4 linked regions of the Oryzias latipes genome follow. Each later gene encodes a partner of the first gene's protein in a complex. Links are inferred from orthologs where the notes say so. Each region holds a gene or a part of one and is shown on either strand. Other genes may lie near its edges.

Region 1 (4,163 bases):
CCCTCTTCAACAAATGCTTCAGTGCTACAAAAATCAAGCAGGAAAACCATATACCAGTAACTGAAAGTTTGGTGAGTCACTGTATACACTGAGAAAGTATATGAAAGTATTCAGCTCTTACCTCCACATTCCTTGGCCTGCAGAGAGACCACATAAGGAGTGACAGACTGTCTGAGTAGGTCCGAGAGGCTGCTGAAGGTCAGGTCGTGATCGGGAACGTTGACACCTGGAGAGCAGGTCAAAGAAACGTCAAACCGCGCCAAAAATAGTGGGGTTTTATCGGGTTAGCTGGTTCCTGAAGAATGTACGCCGCATACCCAGCATGAGGGCAGCTGTGGGAATTTCACTGGCCCTCATCTGCGATGCCCAGTCGCCGTGACAACGAGCGGAGGAACACTTCCTGCTGAACTCCAGTAAGCTGTCCAAGATTTTCCTATGGAGTTCATCCTGCAAAACCTTAAAATGACATTTAAAAAAAAGCATCAAAAAACGTATCTGAAGGTTATATGTGAAGGTGGAGTAATGCACACTCCACCAAGCCTTCCAGGGAGAAGAGACGGAGAAGCCCACTGCTCCACCTTAGGATCCCTGTTTACACAGGTAGATATTCATATTTACTAGTTTGTTGTTATCAAATCATTTATTTGTTGGTGTTTTTCTTTTCATTTGGTTGTTCATTGATTTTGTTGCATTATTCCAATTGCCCTGAGGCTTGGAGCCCCTCCCCACTGACTTTAGGATTTAGGTCAGGTGAAGCTGGGAGTAGAAAAGTGACTCAGGAAGAATAAGACCAGAAGGTTCACTTGAATTTATTTTTAAGCGTAGTGATGGTTCCGGCAACACCGACGCGCCGGCTCACGTGTCGAGCTCATAAAGAGAAACCCTCTGTTGGTGCGCGCATCACTTCAGGAGAAGTCACGTGACCAACACAGCCACTGTGTGTGTGTGTGTATGTGTGTGTGTGTGTGTGTGTCACACAGGAGTCAAACAAGGAAGCGCGTCTACCAGCAGTGTTGCCAGATTCTGCGGTTTCCCACCCAATTGGGTGGTTTTGACTTAGAAATTGCAGAGGAAAAAGAAAAAAGAAGAAAAAAAAGTTCATGCACCTGATCCGTGTCCAGTTTCCCGGTTTATTATGTTTCATTTTACCAAATCTTCCCTAACGGTGTTGAATGCTGTGTTTTTATTTGGTTGGTGGAATTTCTTCATAGTTTTACTAGTGTTTTTAGCTTTTGGTCCCCCTGTTCCTCTCAGTTTATGCTGAATCTAGCAGAATACCAATCCATTTCAAACAGACTCTTTTTTTAATTATTATTTAATCATTTTATGTTTTGGAGGTTAAAGCAGAACTGCCAAACTACCTCCTTCATGCTGGGACATTATAGAGCGAGACATGGGAATGAGGAACTACAAAGACAAATATTGTTTTTACACTAGTTTATGTATATATCTGTTTAGTTTTTTTAACTTGGTAGCCTGCAGTGATGTTTTCAGTCCAGCATGAGTCTGCATCGAATGACACAGTATTGACAGATTATCAATACGGTTTAGGAATGTGCCAAAATACAACATGACGCCTCATCTACCATCACTACACTGTTGTAAATGTATACAAGTGCCATATATATTGTGTCCTATGGACTATTTTGCCTCACTGAAAAATATTTATGGTCATTTTCTATAACATTTCTTGTTTTTACACCTCTCTGTGTTATTTTAACTATTTGTTTATTATTTATTATTTAGACCTCGGATTTTGTTTGATTATTTATTATTAAAATCAAAGAGATGCATATCTATACGTGGGTATATCAAACTTTGGATAGTTAATCGTGACTTGATTGGAAAAGTAAAAAATACAAGTAGTTCTAAATTATGTTATTATAGTTACTCAAATCAAAAATATACACATTGGTATTTATAGATAAAATACATGACACATGAAATTCATTAAGTGTGAAGTTTGTCTGAAAAAAAGGTTTAAATCTTTGCTTTAAAATTAGAGTGATTAAGCAAAGTTATATAATCCCACCCCTAGTATGATTTACATGACTTTTTAAAAAAATATTTATTATATTCTAGTTCAAAACTTAATAAGAGTCATTTTTACTTTACCAGTCCAATTGCAGATCATTTGTCAAATTCATACGTATTAATATAAAATCACAAAGAAAGTGCCTATTGAATTTGACTATATTTCAGAAGTTAGAATCCTGTTTATTTTACTGAATTTTGATCAGGCACCTAAGTCGATACCTAATTTGGTTTCGACTAAAACTTAAAGTAATTATATTCTCTCTTCAGCGTTTCTTACCTCAGTTTCAGTTTCGATCTGCTTCCACAGATCCTGGCAGAGCTTGAATCGCCTCTGGCCGCTTTCCGGACCCGCGCAGTCATGAATAAAATAACTTTCTGTGTGGACAAAAAAAAGAAAAGACAAGTTAGCATAGAGTCTTAGGAACCATTATAAAACACTGACTGAGACTCCTCACCCTGACTGACATCCTGCTTCTTCCTCTTCTTCGGACTGGGCTTAAAAACAAAGCATCCCTGCGGACAGCACAATCAGAAGCAGGTAAAGAAAAAAATATCGCAGCCATCTTGTTTTATTTTCGTTACGACTTCAAGTAGATCTGCGCGCAGCAGAAAATATCACCTTTGACACAGATGACGTAGACATCTCTGAGATATCGAGGAGGCCGCCGATCCTCCAAAGATCCAGGCATTCAGTAAACTAGTGTTTAGTGAAATGCCGGCTGCATGTCTTCCTAAAATCGTCGTTTTCCCGCCAAAGTGACGTCACAGTTTAGCCAATGAAACGGCAGTAAAATTGAACGCCCCGCCCAACCAGAATACGTTCACTTCTAAGTGCCTTATTTAGTAAAATAAACTTCTTTTTTTATCTTAACTTAAGAAAAAGAAAATCTTATTAAGTGTCAAATAAGTTTCTTTTTAAAGTAATAATGGATTAAATTATTTGAAAACAAAAATATTGTAATCCACCTATAATGAGATGAACTGAAAATATATTTAGAACATATTTGTGCAAAGTAAAATAAATACTTTATCATAAAATAATTTTAAAATGTATTTGAAAAAACTTTATTTTTAAAATTGTTGTAGAGATCTATAAACAGCACTATTGGTCTAAAAATTTAGAGCACCTTATTTATATTTTTTATTTAAATGTATTCTGTGTAATGTCTTGATAGCAGCTGGATCTACAAAAAAGGAATCCCAAAACTAATTTATAGACCAAAATTTACTTTAGTTTAATCAAAATCACCATTTTTCTTACCTCAGGAACGCTCTTTCATAGATATTTTCACAAGTTCTTTGGGGCTCGTAAGCTTCTTTGCTCCCAAACCAGCTTCCTAGCAATCTGGAGACTGTGCTGACTGACCCCTGCGTGTTTTCAAGTTTACCGTCTTGTTTTGTCTTCAGGTAGTTCTGGCAAAGCTTGGATTTGTGTTTTAGGTCATTCATTTGTTGTAGTACAAACTCTTAACCAACTCAGCACCCAAGCGCTGCAGTCTTGTGGTGGCTGAGTTGGTTTAAGGTGCCTCTTGCCCTATTTATATCACTGACCCCAAAACAGCTCCATACCATCACACTTCCTCCTCCGTGTTTCACAATTGATGTCCCACACAGTGGAGCTGTTCTTTCACATTTTGACAACACATAAAAACAATTTGAAATAAAGATTTTTTACTTTTGATTATCGATTTATGAAGGCTTCTTCCAGTCTTCAGTAGTCCAGTGTTTCCTGAATCAGTGAGGACTTTTTGCTTTGTTGTGATGTTTCCGTAATGCCTTTCTTGCTGCAACTTGTTTTGTCAATCTCATACCTCCAAGTCTATTTTTCACTGTGTAAGTGGAAACCCCCTTTAATGGCCACAATTAAATTGTTGTGAGTTTGGGTCTGTTTGACCTCTTCCTATCAGTTTCCTGCATTTTCTGAGTGCCTTTTGATATTGATGAAAACCGTACCTATTGACACCTTAACATTTCATAAACATATAAAGCACCACACACGCAGAAACATTAAAGAATTTAAAAGTTATTTTTGGATACTCATTTTCTTCCTGTATCAATCATTATTTGGTTGTTTTATTAGGATATTTTGTTTCACTGCCTAAAATTTACTTTTTTCAAATTATTAT
Region 2 (4,104 bases), on another chromosome or scaffold:
GAAATAAAATTCAGTCATATAAAACTGGAAAAACATTAAAACTTTCAGAAAAGGACATCATTATGGGTTGTTATGATCAACGTTGACTGGAACATTGTTTTTTTATAAAACAATTGATTTGGTTTTTGGAGAATTTTCATATTCAAAAAAGGTCATAGTCAAATTAAAAATTTATTTAAAACACTTTTTGGTAAAATCCTCAAACAAATTAAAACAAAAAAGGCAATTTCGACTAAAGTAATTTCTGAATCTGTGCAAAACTGGGTGTGTTGTTGGATGTCAGACCTTTAATCATCTTATGTATGCTGATGACCTTGTCATTTTTAGCCCCTACAGTGCTGGGTTACAAACACTTTTAAAAGTTTGTTCTGACTATGGCAGAGATTTTGATATAAACTACAATCCCTCTAAAAGCAAAGTAATGATTGTAAGGACCAAAGACGACAGAAATGTAAACTTTCCTGTTTTTAAGCTTTGTGGAACGCCTCTGGAACAAACCTCATCTATCAAATACCTTGGACATTTCATTACTGATGATTGGAGGGATGATAGAGACATTCAGAGACAGTACTGTAAACTCTATGCTCAGGCAAACATGCTGATGAGAAAATTCAGTACGTGTTCTCTTCAAGTGAAATGTTCGCTGTTCAGAGCTTACTGCACTCCTCTGTATACGGCCCCTCTTTGGTGGAACTATGGACGTGGGACATACCGCAAATTCTTAGTGGCCTATAATGATGCTTTTAGGCTTCTGCTACAGGTGCCAAGGTGGTACAGAGCCAGTCAGCTATTTGTGGATGCTCACATCCCCACCAGTGAAGCACTACTGCGTAAGCTTACATACGGCCTTATGGAACGCCTAGACAAATCTAAGAACTCAATTATCATGTCTCTGACTGATCCCAAAAGAAGCTCATGCAGCTACACTTCTGCCCTGAGGAAACACTGGATACAGCGATTATACTCTTTTTAATTTATATATTTTTACTTTTTATTATGTATACTGTATTTGTATCTTTTTCTATGGACCACATCTGAGTCTGAAATAAACGTGTGTTTAAAAAGGCACATTTTCTTATAAACTTTAGTTCCTTCTTTTTGCTTTATTTCTATCTTTACAACGGCCACTCACACATTTCTTTTGTATGTTGTTAAAAAAAAAATAAGTGAAAAAAATTATATCGGAAACCTTTACAAAAGTTAGACTTTGAAGTGCATTCTGGGTAATGATTTTTTAAGTGTGTGGGCTGTGATTGGTCAGTACACGACCTTTCGCCTGTCACGTGGTTTAAACCTTCAGAAGGATGGCGCGGGAAGTTGTCAGCTCACCGTGGTATTTAGTTCAGTTTGCTAACGTTTCTCTGCAAGGTGCTTAGTTTTTACGAGCTTTTCCCACGCTGTCAGTGTGTTTTTTCATAAAGTTTTATATTTTTGGTCAACCTGTATGTATCGGTCTTCTCGGCGTCCAACCACGCAGTGTGTTGTGTTTGCCATTAGAGGACCGAGCGCGATGGAGGTGAAGTTTGTCGGGGATGAGGATGTTCTGGAGCACATCGTGGAGAAACATGACGGTAAAAGCTTTTAAGTCTTTCAACAAATCTGCGCAGACGCGGTGATCTTAAACTCCCTGTGTTTGGTCTGCGCAGGCGTGCTGGGCGGCGGAAAGTCTGTGCAGAGGATGGTGACGTTTAAGAGCCCCGCTGGACGTCGGGGGTGCCTGGAGGAGGAAGAACAGGAGGAAGATGAGGTCTTTGACGAGCAGAATTATATCCAGGCTTTGGGAGCAGATAATGCAACAGGTGAGGCGACAACAACTCTGTCATTTAGTCATTTTTTGCTTATTTACAACTTCAATAAACAAGTTAACCCTACTCCTGCCATGAAGAACTAAAGGTACATCACAGCTCTTTACATGCAGATGTTGACATACACAGGAATGGATACAGACTCTCGCTCTCTATTTTTTCCAATAAACTTTATTGTACATTTTTTTTTCAATTTACAGAAATTCACACAATTTGCACAATAAAGCAACAATTGTTAATATCAAACACACACATAAGACCAAAAAATAAACAATAATACTAATATTATTAATAACGTGTGCCTCTTTTTTCTTTTTTATAAATGCTCATATACAAACCAAGTTAGGGTGAACAATCGTTATAAATGTGCATATAGAAAAAACAAAACAAAATTTAAAAAAAGGCAATAATAATGGATTGGATTTATCTGCGCTTTTCAAGACACCCAAGGGCGCTTACATTATGTCCATTATTCATTCACTCCTCATTCATACTTGATGATGGTAAGCTACAGTTGCAGCCACAGCTGCCCTGGGGCAGACTGACAGAGGCGTGGCTGCCATTTCGCACCCCTCTGACCATCACCAGGATCATTCATGTGCATTCACACACCAGTGGAGCCACACTGGAGGCAAGGAGGGTGAAGTGTCTTGCCCAAGGACACAACAACATTTTTGGCTGGTGGGAGCGGGGATCGAACCGCCAACCCTTTGATCATTGGACGACCCGCCCAACCACCTGAGCCACTGTCGCCCCAAAATAACAATACTTTTGATATATTTTGAGAAATTACTGAAGTTTTCTTGTTTTTGTTTTGGAATGCATTTAAGACACTCATAATAATCAGAACAATAATTCAAAAAATACTAAACAAAGGGCATGTATTTTTCCATTTACATAAATGAATGAAATGTTTGCATAAAATAATAACAACATTAATGACATCAGAAATTCCCGGGTCCAGATTTTCCATATAGAAAAAACCATCAGATAAAGAAAAAAAGGGAATATTTAAAACTTTAAGTGACAACAAATTGTGAATATCAGTCCAAAATATTTGTATCTGGTTGAAACTGTAAAAGAGATGTTCCAACGTTTCAGTTTCAGATGAACAGAATAGCCATGGTTCCCATTGAAATTTGAATCTTTTATGTTAAAAATTTCCAACAGGGTAAATTTTTCAATATTATTTTTAAATGTGTTTCTTTCATTTTAGGTGGAAGTGGGAACTTTTTGTATTAAGAAAAAGATTTGTCCATTAGGGTGGTTTCTAAGTCGCATCTATTTTTTTTTACTAAAGTTGCAGAAAATGATTTGTTTAAAGGTTAGAGTTACTAATTTATTGTTGCATTTTTTATCTTTTATGGGAATATCATTAATTTTCAGCTGTGAAAATTGTGGTTGGATTGCATTGTATTGTAGTATGTTATGAATAAGATTAAGTAAAGGTATTGGAATTTCTTTACAGACTTTGTTATAACAGTTACTAGAATCCTTAATTTTGTATTTAGTTACAAACTCATTGTATGATAACAACATTCCATCAGTATGCATCAAGTCATGAACAAAACACACACCATAATCATACCATTCAGACATAAACAAGGATTTCTTGTTTACAGCTATAAATCTGTTGTTCCATAAAACAGTGTTGTGAGGGGAGAAGTTATGGGTGAAAAGCGTCTTCCCAAATTCTAAGTAAAAGTAAAAGTTTGATAGTTTCATTGGTATTTTTGATAGATTATAATCACATTTCATTGTATTAAATAAAGTGTATTAAAATGTATAAAGTGTATTAACATATTAATTACTGTTTTCTTCTTGTACAAGGTGTAATGTTTGTATATTATTAATAATGTTATTGTAGTTGTTGGGTTGAATTGTGCATAGCAAAAAATAATCTAGCAGGTTTAACTTATTGAAACAGTCAATTAGAGCAGTCTGAGAATCTTTAAAGTCCCTCTCTGGTCATCTTTTCAGCTATTTTCAAAACATCTTCTGATTATGACTATACCTTTTTAGCCTAAATAAAATAAAGGCTGTGTTGTTTTCTAGGACATAATTTCTGCTGAGCTGCAGTGGTTCATTAGAAATTCGCCTTTGAGTTGTGGGCGGGACCAATGGCCGTGGAATAAGCCCTACCCCACTTCCCATCATCCACCTGTTTACACGTTCGCTTGCTAGCTTACAGCCCTTCAAACCTCCTACCTAACAATACAGGTGCAACAAAAATGGAGAGTTATATCTGAGCTATCCAGCTGTAAAGTTTTAAGGTAGATGCCAGGTCGGATAAGGAAAA
Region 3 (4,119 bases), on another chromosome or scaffold:
CAAAGTAGCCCGCCTGAGGCGTGTCTGCGCCGTCCCCGATCCAGTACGGCTGGATGAAGCACACCACGTTGACGATGGCGAAGAGGATGGTGAATATCGCCCAGAGGACGCCGATGGCCCGGGAATTACGCACGTAGTTGGTTTGGTAGATCTTGGCAGCCTCCGAGGCGGGAAGCATGGTGGTGGTCGCGCTGGGGGCCCCGGGGACCATCCTCCGGTGTATGTGAGGTAAGAGACTTAAGATTTGCACTCAGTAAACAAACCTCTTCCTCGTCAGGTAGTAATCTTCATCAGAACTAGCTAATTTTCCTGTTTTACGTGGATGCTTTACGCGTCTTCAATGCGCGCTCGCATCCTTGACTTGAGCCCTCTTTGCGCTTTCCTCCTTCATCAATCTACGGGAGAAAAAGAAAGACAATCTATTGAAATGCTTGAGAAATCCTCTCTGCAGAAGGCTTCCTCTGCCCGCTCCCCTGATGTCTCCTCCTGGTGTTTCTGCCTGAGACGATAACACCGCTCCAGCTGCCACGAGTGGCTGAGATGTGGCTGAAATGGTCTGTGTGCTCTCGACGGAGCAGCAGCCGCGGATGAGATCCTATTGAATTAGAGTCGGAAGATAGTTGCGGATATTACACAGGCAACTCACATCCCTTAATCCCATTCTGACGCATTATTCCGGTAACGCGCGTAAATCCCGAACAGACACATTGATATGAAAGCAAATGCGAAGACTAAATGCTTTTGATTTTTCTGCTCGTCAATCCAGTGCGCATGACTGATACGATCAGCATAAATACAAGTTCATAAAAAAACAAGGATGCGCTCTTCCTACATATACAATTTTAAATAGGTTCGTTTACAAAATTTCTGAATTGTAGTCTATTTTCAAAATATAAATGTTAGGTATTCCTAATTAGTTTAGTTTGGTTAAATTTAATTATCATATTTCTTAAAACAAACACACAAATAATCCTAAAAAGGTGAAAGGTTAGAGACAATAAAATAAGTTTTATTGGGTAATGGGTAAATCAGGAAGGTTATTTACAATACAGATTAGCCAAAATATGTATAATTACTCGTTTTAATAAAAAAAAAATCATTCTTAACAGCTCATACTAGATGCATACTCTCCAACGTTTTTAAAATTACACATCATAATTATGAGATATATATGAAATAAAGTATAATTATTTATTTCGTTTCTTTTTTTAAAATACTTTTTGATTTAAAAGATGTCTAAAGTTGTTTTTTATTTTATGTTTCGGATTTTTACTACATTACCCAGAGTTCCACAATACTTTTCTGATTGGATCATACGGAGGCGGAGTTTATGACGTAATCCAACGGCGCGCAAAGTGATCGCAGCCGGTTTCAAGTACATTTGCTCGTTTTTCCTCGATAAAAACGTAGTTTTTGAGGAGTGTTTTAAAGTTTTGTATCACGCGCTTTCTTCGACTTAACGACGTCAAGTTCACTTTTTTGCCGCTAACGCTGGCGACCGTCATCTTTATTTTCGTGAAAGTTAAGCTAATGTTTTGGTTTGTTTATTAGTTTAGCTCCTCGTGGCTTCAACTATAAAGTTAGAACCAAGAAAAGCAGAATGGCGGGACTGTTAGAGCATCCTGGATACGACGAGGAGAGGCTGAAGAGAGCCGCAGAGCAGCTGCCCTGCAGAGAAGTTCAGGCTGGGATGTTGCTGTCCCTTATGGGAGAGGTATGGGGCCGTTAACTCAAGGAAGGTCCACCTGATAACAAAATTCCCAAAGCAAAACAGTGTAATTATTAGTCAATGTATTTATAAAATAATAATAATAAAGTTTTTCATAAATTCTCATTCTCGTGTTAAAACACCAGTCGGAGTTGCTTTAATACCCACTCTGATTCATTAAAAATTGTTTGTAACATGTACTTGTGGCATTTTTCCAATGTTCTAAAAGTATTTCTTTATTAAAATTGTGATCCAGGACCAGACGAAAAGGCTCTGTTTGAAAAAGATCGTATATTTGTGATGTAGAAAACACACAAGCTCCCTGCTCAGCTCCATTCTGATGCACTTGTAAACAAATAGATCCATGTATGTCTTTGTTTTCTTCGCCCAAACTAGTGTCTGGCGCCCAAATGTACGGCTGGATATAGCTCCAATATTGCTCACCCTTTTTGTTGCACCAGTAATGTTAGTTTGGGTGTTTGAGAAAGATAGTGGGAGAGTGTAAACAGAGCTGTGGGCAGGGTTACTCTGTGCCAACAGTCTTTCCCACAATCAGACGTGAATTTATAATGAATTACTGCCGCTCTGCAGAAACTATGTCTTAGAAAATGTCAGAGGGTTTTTGATTTTAGCTAAAAAAGGGCATCATCATAATTAAAAGACCACTGGGAACACTTTGTAAATAAATCAAAAGATGAATATAGTAGGTTGTAATTTTTATTATTATTATTATTATTATTTAAAAGTGTGTTCATGAATAGGAATTTAGTCTTTGTGAGACGAGATAGATTAAAGAGACTTTGGACAGAAACGTAGTCGTATTGTTCTTGCTATTTTTAAATTCTTACTTAAAATATAGAGACACACCTTGCACAATTACAGACTACCGTATTTTCCGGAGTATAAGTCGCACCAGCCCAAAAATGCATTATAAAGTAGAAAAAAACACAGATAAGTCGCACTGGACTATAAGTCGCATTTTAACTTTCACAACCTTATATGACACAATCATAGCAGACTGTTTATCTAATAATTTCACAGTAATTTTTTCTCAAACTTATTTATTTATTCCTTTCATGAAGCATCATTGGCTAACTAATACTCTGTTTTCATCCTGTATTTGTAGAAACAGTTTTCACTTTTATTGCATTTCTGAATCTATGAAATCTTTGGAAAATAGAATATTATGTTGTTAGCCTTCAAGATCTAACTGTAAAAAAAAGTTTGCTGATTCTCTGAGTCACTGAACATACTCTTAACACTTAACACTTACACTTAACACTTACCTCATACATCAAATTGACCCAGGAACATCATCTCTGTTCCTCACAAATGAACATAACAGGAGGGTTAACAATGTATTTATTTCAATTTATTTCTAATATAAGTCGCTGCGGAGTATAAGTCGCACCCCTTGCCAAACTATGAAAAAAAGTGCGACTTATAGTCCGGAAAATACGGGTATTTAAAATAAATACAAGAACTAAAAATAAAAAGGGAAATTTGGTGAAACAGGTGAGATGGACTTTAAAAATATGGAGTCACATTAGGCTAATAATTTCATTAAATAATGGACACTGTACTGAAATATGATATTTCTCTAAGTGTTACTCAAATATGTATATTTTGTATGTAATGATCTTGTTTTTATACTATTTTAAGCTGCCTTACAATCATCTTGAGCGTCTTGATAAGCGCTTCAAATAAAATAAAGTAACCCTTTTATTCTTGGGCATTTAGGTGATGACTAATATAGTATTTAGAGCATTTTTCAATGTATTATGTTGTTTTTACCTAGTACTGGTGCAATGATCTAATATTATTGACAGTAACATTCGTGTTATTTTTCTCTTGACAGCCACACCAGTACTGCTACCCCTCAATCTTCATCTACGGTCATCGGGCTTCAGGAAAAAGCCATGTAATAAATGTTCTGATGAAGGAGCTGGAGGTGATGTCTGTTAAATCCGTGGTTGTTTTGGTTTAGATGTGGTTTCTCAGTGTTGTCTTTTGACAGCGTCAAAGAAAAGATGGATTCTGAAAGCTTTTTCTCCTTAGGGTTTCATCTTTTTCGAAGTTGAAAGGATAATGAAGGAATGACAACAACAAGAGAACACGGGGTTTCTTTCAATAAACACTGAAAGAGTGTTTAGTTAATTAAACATTGCGCTTTTTTCAAGTAAATAAGTGGATTCTGGTGATGTCAATTACATTTGTGGGTTACAAAAGTAAAACGTGAAAAAGATGTGTTTTTGCTAAAACCAAAGGATTATTTATCATTTACATTTAATCTGCAAAAGATAAAATCCACCCTCTAAAGTGTTGTCTTTGTTTGGGCAGTATGTTGTTGGGTTTTTAAAAAGTAGCAGCTGGGATTTTTGTGCCATGTGATGTTTTTTTTTTTTGTGCAT
Region 4 (4,301 bases), on another chromosome or scaffold:
ATAAGAGTCCCTGGTTGGCCAAAGTTGGACCCACTTTAACTTGCAACATGCGTTCAAGTTTAGCATGTCCAGCACAAAAATGGTCGTAAAGACTTGCGTAGCTACACAGAAACCCGAAACGTGCATCGACACACATTTACGTAGAGTTTTTATCGGAAGTGGCCTCTTGAATGCAAATTGCCGAGGGAGGTGTGGCGAGTGTAAAAAAGAAAAAGAAAAGGCTAAACGTGATTTCTTGAACACGCGTTTAGTCCACAATGTTCACAATGGACTAGCGAGAAGGGGCTTCTGTTGACTAGCGCCTTACCACCACCTACAGTTGAAAGAGGCTTAGCGCGAAATGACGAATTGGTCATTTAGCCCATGGTTGTAGAAATTTGCGCATCTCTATGTAAATGGGAACGTTTTAAACTTGGAAGTCCGAAATACGTGTTTATACACTTTTATTTTTTTGGATGTGGTTACTTGAATGCAAGTTCTTAAACGTGCGTCTAGCCCACGGTTTTCACAATGGACAAGCAGGGAGGGATTCTTCCTCTACTTTTTTTTGTTCACTGTTTACTAGCGCATGTGCGCCATCTACAGTTGGTAGTGGGTTAGTGCAAAATGTTGAAGTGGTGCGAATCTTGGGAATTCTTTTTTGTTTTTTTTCTAGCACAGCTCTATTCCGGTATGAAAGACTTTTCAACATGTTAATTCTTCCATGAATCAAAAGGGACGCCGTTTGTTCATCACAACCAGATCCGAGGGCCCCGATTGGTCAAAGTTTGACCCGCTTTAAGACACATTCAATGAACATTTCGTTAGTCGAGCCCAAAAATGGCCATAAAAACTTGCCTATTTATGTTTTGAACTTGGAGGCCTGTCACATGCATTTACACCTGTTTACATAGACTTTTTATTGGAAGTGGTCATATGAACGTAGACTGGTAGCTCAGAAGAATTCTACGGAGCTCCTAAAGGGACATTAAAGAAGAAAAGCATTAAGGTAAAAATAAAAAAGGTGGCAAAAAAAGCTAACTGGTTTTCTTTGATTTTTGTTCTTTTTTGTTACTTTGTTTTTTTCCCTAGTCATTAACAACAAAATTAAAATATTTAAACAAAATAAAGTAAATTTTTATGTTTTATAAATCTGTGTTTACATCGAGATAATCTCTTTTATTTGCATCATAAAGAAAAAATGAAAAATAGACCCCCCAAAATTATTATTTTTTTCCCAAACTTTTTTCTTAGTTTGGTAATAAAACCAATTAAAAAAAAAAAGAAATTGCACATTTCCAATGAAAATGAATCAGTAAAAGTCATCATGGGATTTAGATTAAATGTAATTTAAAAACGGACACAGCACTGAGAAAACTCACAAACCATGCTTCTGTTTGAAACAACATTATAATATTATTATTTATCAATTATTTACATATTTTAATGCCGTTTCTGATGTTTTAAAGCGTTTTACTAACCTTTATTTTAAAGAAAAAATATACTCATCCGCTTTCAGTCAATCACGAGTTTTCTTCCAGCCAATCAGAGACCGGAGATTCAGCCCATGCCGGAAGTAGTCATCTCGTGTGTCGCAAAAGTCGCGGGAAGATTCCGGGGGGCTACTGTTTGGTGTTTTCTGGAGCCGCGTGAGTGTAAACAACTTTTGTTTACTAAATGCAACTTTTTGTGCTCAACTTCTCAACATTTCGTGATCACGTGGGGGTGTTTTTTTCTTCAACGTGATGTTTCTTTTAGGTTCATCTCCAGCAGGATCACCGAATAGCCGAACTTCCGTTTTAAATGTGGTTACATTAAAATAATGTTTTCCCACGACGTATTTCTTACGTCTAGAAACGGAATGCGCTGTTTATATTTGATAAATAAAACTTTATTTACAATTCGGCTGACATTATAACCTCAGCAAATTCACTTAAAGGCTTCATTTTGACGGTTTAACATGTTCAAAGCCCAATCATTGGAATCAAATCAAACTTTATTTATAAAGCCCTTTTCATACAACAGCAACGCAACATGTTTTACAGTATCTACCCGGCACTAGGAACATCGGACTTCCTGTTTACATTTCTTTAAATATAGAAATTCCTTTTTTTGGGCGGGGTTTATATGTCTACAAACACAAAAGACTTCATTCTTGATACATAAAACTTTATTTACAATTCGGCTTCCAATGTGACGTCAGGTGGGATACTTAAAGGGATCATTTTAACGTTTTAACTTGTTTACTTCAAAGTCTGATCATTTGATTTAAATCAAACTTTATTAACAAAGCACTTTTTTCTCGTCAGGCCATCATGAGTAAGAGGAAAGGGAAAATCTCCCATCAGCCCCTGGGAGAATGCATCACACAGGCTTGTATCCCTTCCTTAAACCTTGAGTTTGCGTGGTAGTGACTTGGAACTTAATGAATTTGTTTGTGTTTTTATGAATTTCTAGGTTCAACGGATCTTGAGGGAGCGATACTGCCAGCAAAAACTAGCCAAAGGACTCGATGGAGTTGGAGCTCAACACAAGTGGGTTTTTATTTTTATTTTAGCTATGTGTCTGATTAAAGCAAAGACGACCCGCAGCTCTGTGACCCAGTTCAGGCTGACGGCGCCGACCTAGTTTGGTGCCCCACCCCCCATCGTTTGTCAAAGCTCACTTGAAGCTCCGCCCATACAGGCACCTGGAGGAGCTGCTGAGGCGCACCGCTGTCTACGGGGAGAGCAACTCGGTGCTGATCGTCGGGCCGAGGGGAGCGGGGAAAAGCTCGGTGAGGAGGCGGCGAGGGAGGGGTGCTGAGGGTGGGCAGTGCTGGTTGTCTGACGGCGTCTGCGTTTGCGCAGCTGCTGAGGAGCGTTCTGCAGGAGCTGCTGGAGGAGAAGGAGGTGCAGGAAAACCTTCTGCAGGTCCACCTTAACGGTAATTGCGACTTTGTGTCCTCCAAATCTGCCTGCTCCTCTAGTAATTTAGTAATTTTCTTTGTTTTTGTTTTTTGTTCCAGGCCTCCTACAGACCGACGACAGAATTGCACTTAAAGAAATAACCAGGCAGCTCCACCTGGAGAACGTCGTTGGAGAGAAAGTTTTCGTATGTTTTTCTTTTTAGTTTGGCGGCCATTTTTGCCTTAAATCGGATCCAAAAATGTTTTCTTTTTTTTTCCCCGTTTCAGGGAAGCTTCGCTGAGAATTTGGCTTTCCTGCTGGAAGCTCTGAAGAAAGGTTGGACGGGTTAAATTTAAGTGGATGACGGTGAAATCCGGTCCTCTCCAGCACTCTGGTTGTGTTTGTGGTTCCGTCAGGTGATCGCACCAGCAGCCGCCCCGTGTTGTTCGTCCTGGACGAGTTCGACCTGTTCGCCCACCACAAGAACCAAACGCTGCTCTACAACCTGTTTGACGTGTCGCAGTCCACCCAGGCGCCCGTCGCCGTGGTGGGACTCACCTGCAGGCTGGTGGGTCTCTTTTTTTTTACTTTTTCGTCAGGGAAGAGTAGCACCCCTTTGACGTCTTCCTGTCTTCTCAGGATGTCCTGGAGCTGCTAGAGAAGCGGGTGAAGTCCAGGTTTTCTCACCGACAGATCCACCTGCTGAGCGGCTTGACGTTCAGTCAGTACCTGGACCGAGTCCGGGCCCAGCTCAGCCTCTCCGATGATTTCTGCGACAGCAGGTTCGCTCAGGAGTGGAACGCCAGTGTAAAGGTAAACCAAGTGAAATGTTTCACTAGGTGATCAAGAATCTAACAATGTGTCATTTGATATTGTGTAGCAGGCAACAATAGTCGTTGCTATGGAAACTTTTCACACATATTTTAGGATAGAGATATGAAACGTGTCGTACTTGTTTATCAGCCCAAAACATGAAAGAAAGAAAAAATCTATGGTTGCTATGGACTTGATTCCTCTAGGGAGCCTGTGGAAACATGATCTGGTAAAATTCACTGATTTAGTTTGTTTTTTTGTCTTGCTTAATTTTGAGTGAGGATAAGTGTTCAAGACATTTGGCAGAAAAACTTAATTGCACCAAAGACCTCTGGTCGGTGCAACTATTTTTGATCTTTAGTTATGCGATCAATGTAAATCGGCTGATTTTGACTCAGGGGAAAAAGTTGCATATTGGTGCAAACATCATTTGCAAAGCTGCTTTTTCTCCGCATCACAATCCGTTTCCCAATTCCGTTAATTATGTGTTAATTGTGCTATTTTCATGTCACCGGCGACAGCTCCCACGTTAAAGGGTTCATGCTCGTGTCGAGCTGAATGCAACATTGTCTGACAAGCTTAAGTATTGGTTGCTATGGAAAGCATTGATATTTATTTAAG

Evidence for each region. Proteins that work in one complex are often made in the same cells at the same time.
Region 2: the proteins of orc3 (region 1) and orc2 are in contact, whole or in part, in a cryo-EM structure (PDB 7JPO), measured with the Homo sapiens proteins. The link is inferred for Oryzias latipes from reciprocal best matches to the Homo sapiens genes ORC3 and ORC2. Residues at the interface, in NP_036513.2 of Homo sapiens: Thr3, Ser4, Ser5, Met6, Ser7, Lys8, Gly9, Cys10, Phe11, Val12, Phe13, Lys14, Pro15, Arg20, Ile22, Ile26, Tyr29, Phe30, Lys32, Tyr47, Val111, Thr112, Lys139, Asp318, Lys326, Gln329, Leu330, Leu333, Tyr337, Glu589; in NP_006181.1 of Homo sapiens: Leu239, Glu242, Tyr243, Ala246, His247, Asp268, Arg273, Leu276, Val279, Ser280, Phe283, Glu286, Leu287, Leu290, Lys296, Leu297, His299, Lys300, Met302, Leu303, Gln304, His306, Leu307, Phe309, Tyr314, Gly315, Leu316, Arg320, Glu324, Arg327.
Region 3: the proteins of orc3 (region 1) and orc5 are in contact, whole or in part, in a cryo-EM structure (PDB 7JPO), measured with the Homo sapiens proteins. The link is inferred for Oryzias latipes from reciprocal best matches to the Homo sapiens genes ORC3 and ORC5. Residues at the interface, in NP_036513.2 of Homo sapiens: Glu99, Val109, Met144, Lys145, Leu148, His178, Ser180, Met181, Asp182, Glu223, Asp232, Ile235, Ile236, Gln239, His240, Ala253, Thr254, Ser255, Pro256, Ile257, Ile258, Ile259, Arg261, His265, Ser269, Cys272, Ile273, Glu274, Leu275, Ser280; in NP_002544.1 of Homo sapiens: Asn62, Val64, Glu65, Phe67, Thr68, Arg70, Leu71, Gln75, Tyr129, Leu270, Arg271, Ser274, Ser275, Ser276, Gln277, Leu294, His297, Thr298, His299, Val300, Glu301, Leu302, Pro303, Tyr304, Tyr305, Ser306, Asp360, Tyr367, Arg373, Pro376.
Region 4: the proteins of orc3 (region 1) and orc4 are in contact, whole or in part, in a cryo-EM structure (PDB 7JPO), measured with the Homo sapiens proteins. The link is inferred for Oryzias latipes from reciprocal best matches to the Homo sapiens genes ORC3 and ORC4. Residues at the interface, in NP_036513.2 of Homo sapiens: Thr227, His260, Arg261, Leu262, Leu263, Pro264, His265, Ala266, Ser269; in NP_001177808.1 of Homo sapiens: Pro370, Lys374, Glu377, Gln381, Ser392, Gly393, Asn394, Ser395, Gln396, Arg397.

What each region holds. Positions count from the first base shown.
Region 1 is NC_019880.2:10,107,399-10,111,561, forward strand, and holds the start of orc3 (origin recognition complex subunit 3), read right to left. Parts: upstream 2,804-4,163; 5' UTR 2,681-2,803; coding exon 2,657-2,680; intron 2,551-2,656; coding exon 2,493-2,550; intron 2,413-2,492; coding exon 2,315-2,412; intron 457-2,314; coding exon 318-456; intron 227-317; coding exon 122-226; intron 25-121; coding exon 1-24. UniProt on the Homo sapiens protein: Component of the origin recognition complex (ORC) that binds origins of replication. DNA-binding is ATP-dependent. The specific DNA sequences that define origins of replication have not been identified yet.
Region 2 is NC_019875.2:17,274,120-17,278,223, reverse strand, and holds the start of orc2 (origin recognition complex subunit 2), read left to right. Parts: upstream 1-1,303; 5' UTR 1,304-1,444; coding exon 1,445-1,571; intron 1,572-1,646; coding exon 1,647-1,799; intron 1,800-4,104. UniProt on the Homo sapiens protein: Component of the origin recognition complex (ORC) that binds origins of replication. DNA-binding is ATP-dependent. The specific DNA sequences that define origins of replication have not been identified yet.
Region 3 is NC_019881.2:17,806,399-17,810,517, reverse strand, and holds the start of orc5 (origin recognition complex subunit 5), read left to right. Parts: upstream 1-1,318; 5' UTR 1,319-1,600; coding exon 1,601-1,714; intron 1,715-3,566; coding exon 3,567-3,659; intron 3,660-4,119. Other genes in the region: LHFPL tetraspan subfamily member 3 protein, read right to left, coding at 1-211. UniProt on the Homo sapiens protein: Component of the origin recognition complex (ORC) that binds origins of replication. DNA-binding is ATP-dependent. The specific DNA sequences that define origins of replication have not been identified yet.
Region 4 is NC_019860.2:3,473,673-3,477,973, reverse strand, and holds the start of orc4 (origin recognition complex subunit 4), read left to right. Parts: upstream 1-1,500; 5' UTR 1,501-1,628; exon of another isoform or gene 1,629-1,634; intron 1,635-1,718; exon of another isoform or gene 1,719-1,737; intron 1,738-2,288; 5' UTR 2,289-2,294; coding exon 2,295-2,351; intron 2,352-2,436; coding exon 2,437-2,513; intron 2,514-2,664; coding exon 2,665-2,755; intron 2,756-2,828; coding exon 2,829-2,904; intron 2,905-2,986; coding exon 2,987-3,072; intron 3,073-3,154; coding exon 3,155-3,203; intron 3,204-3,283; coding exon 3,284-3,435; intron 3,436-3,506; coding exon 3,507-3,680; intron 3,681-4,301. UniProt on the Homo sapiens protein: Component of the origin recognition complex (ORC) that binds origins of replication. DNA-binding is ATP-dependent. The specific DNA sequences that define origins of replication have not been identified yet.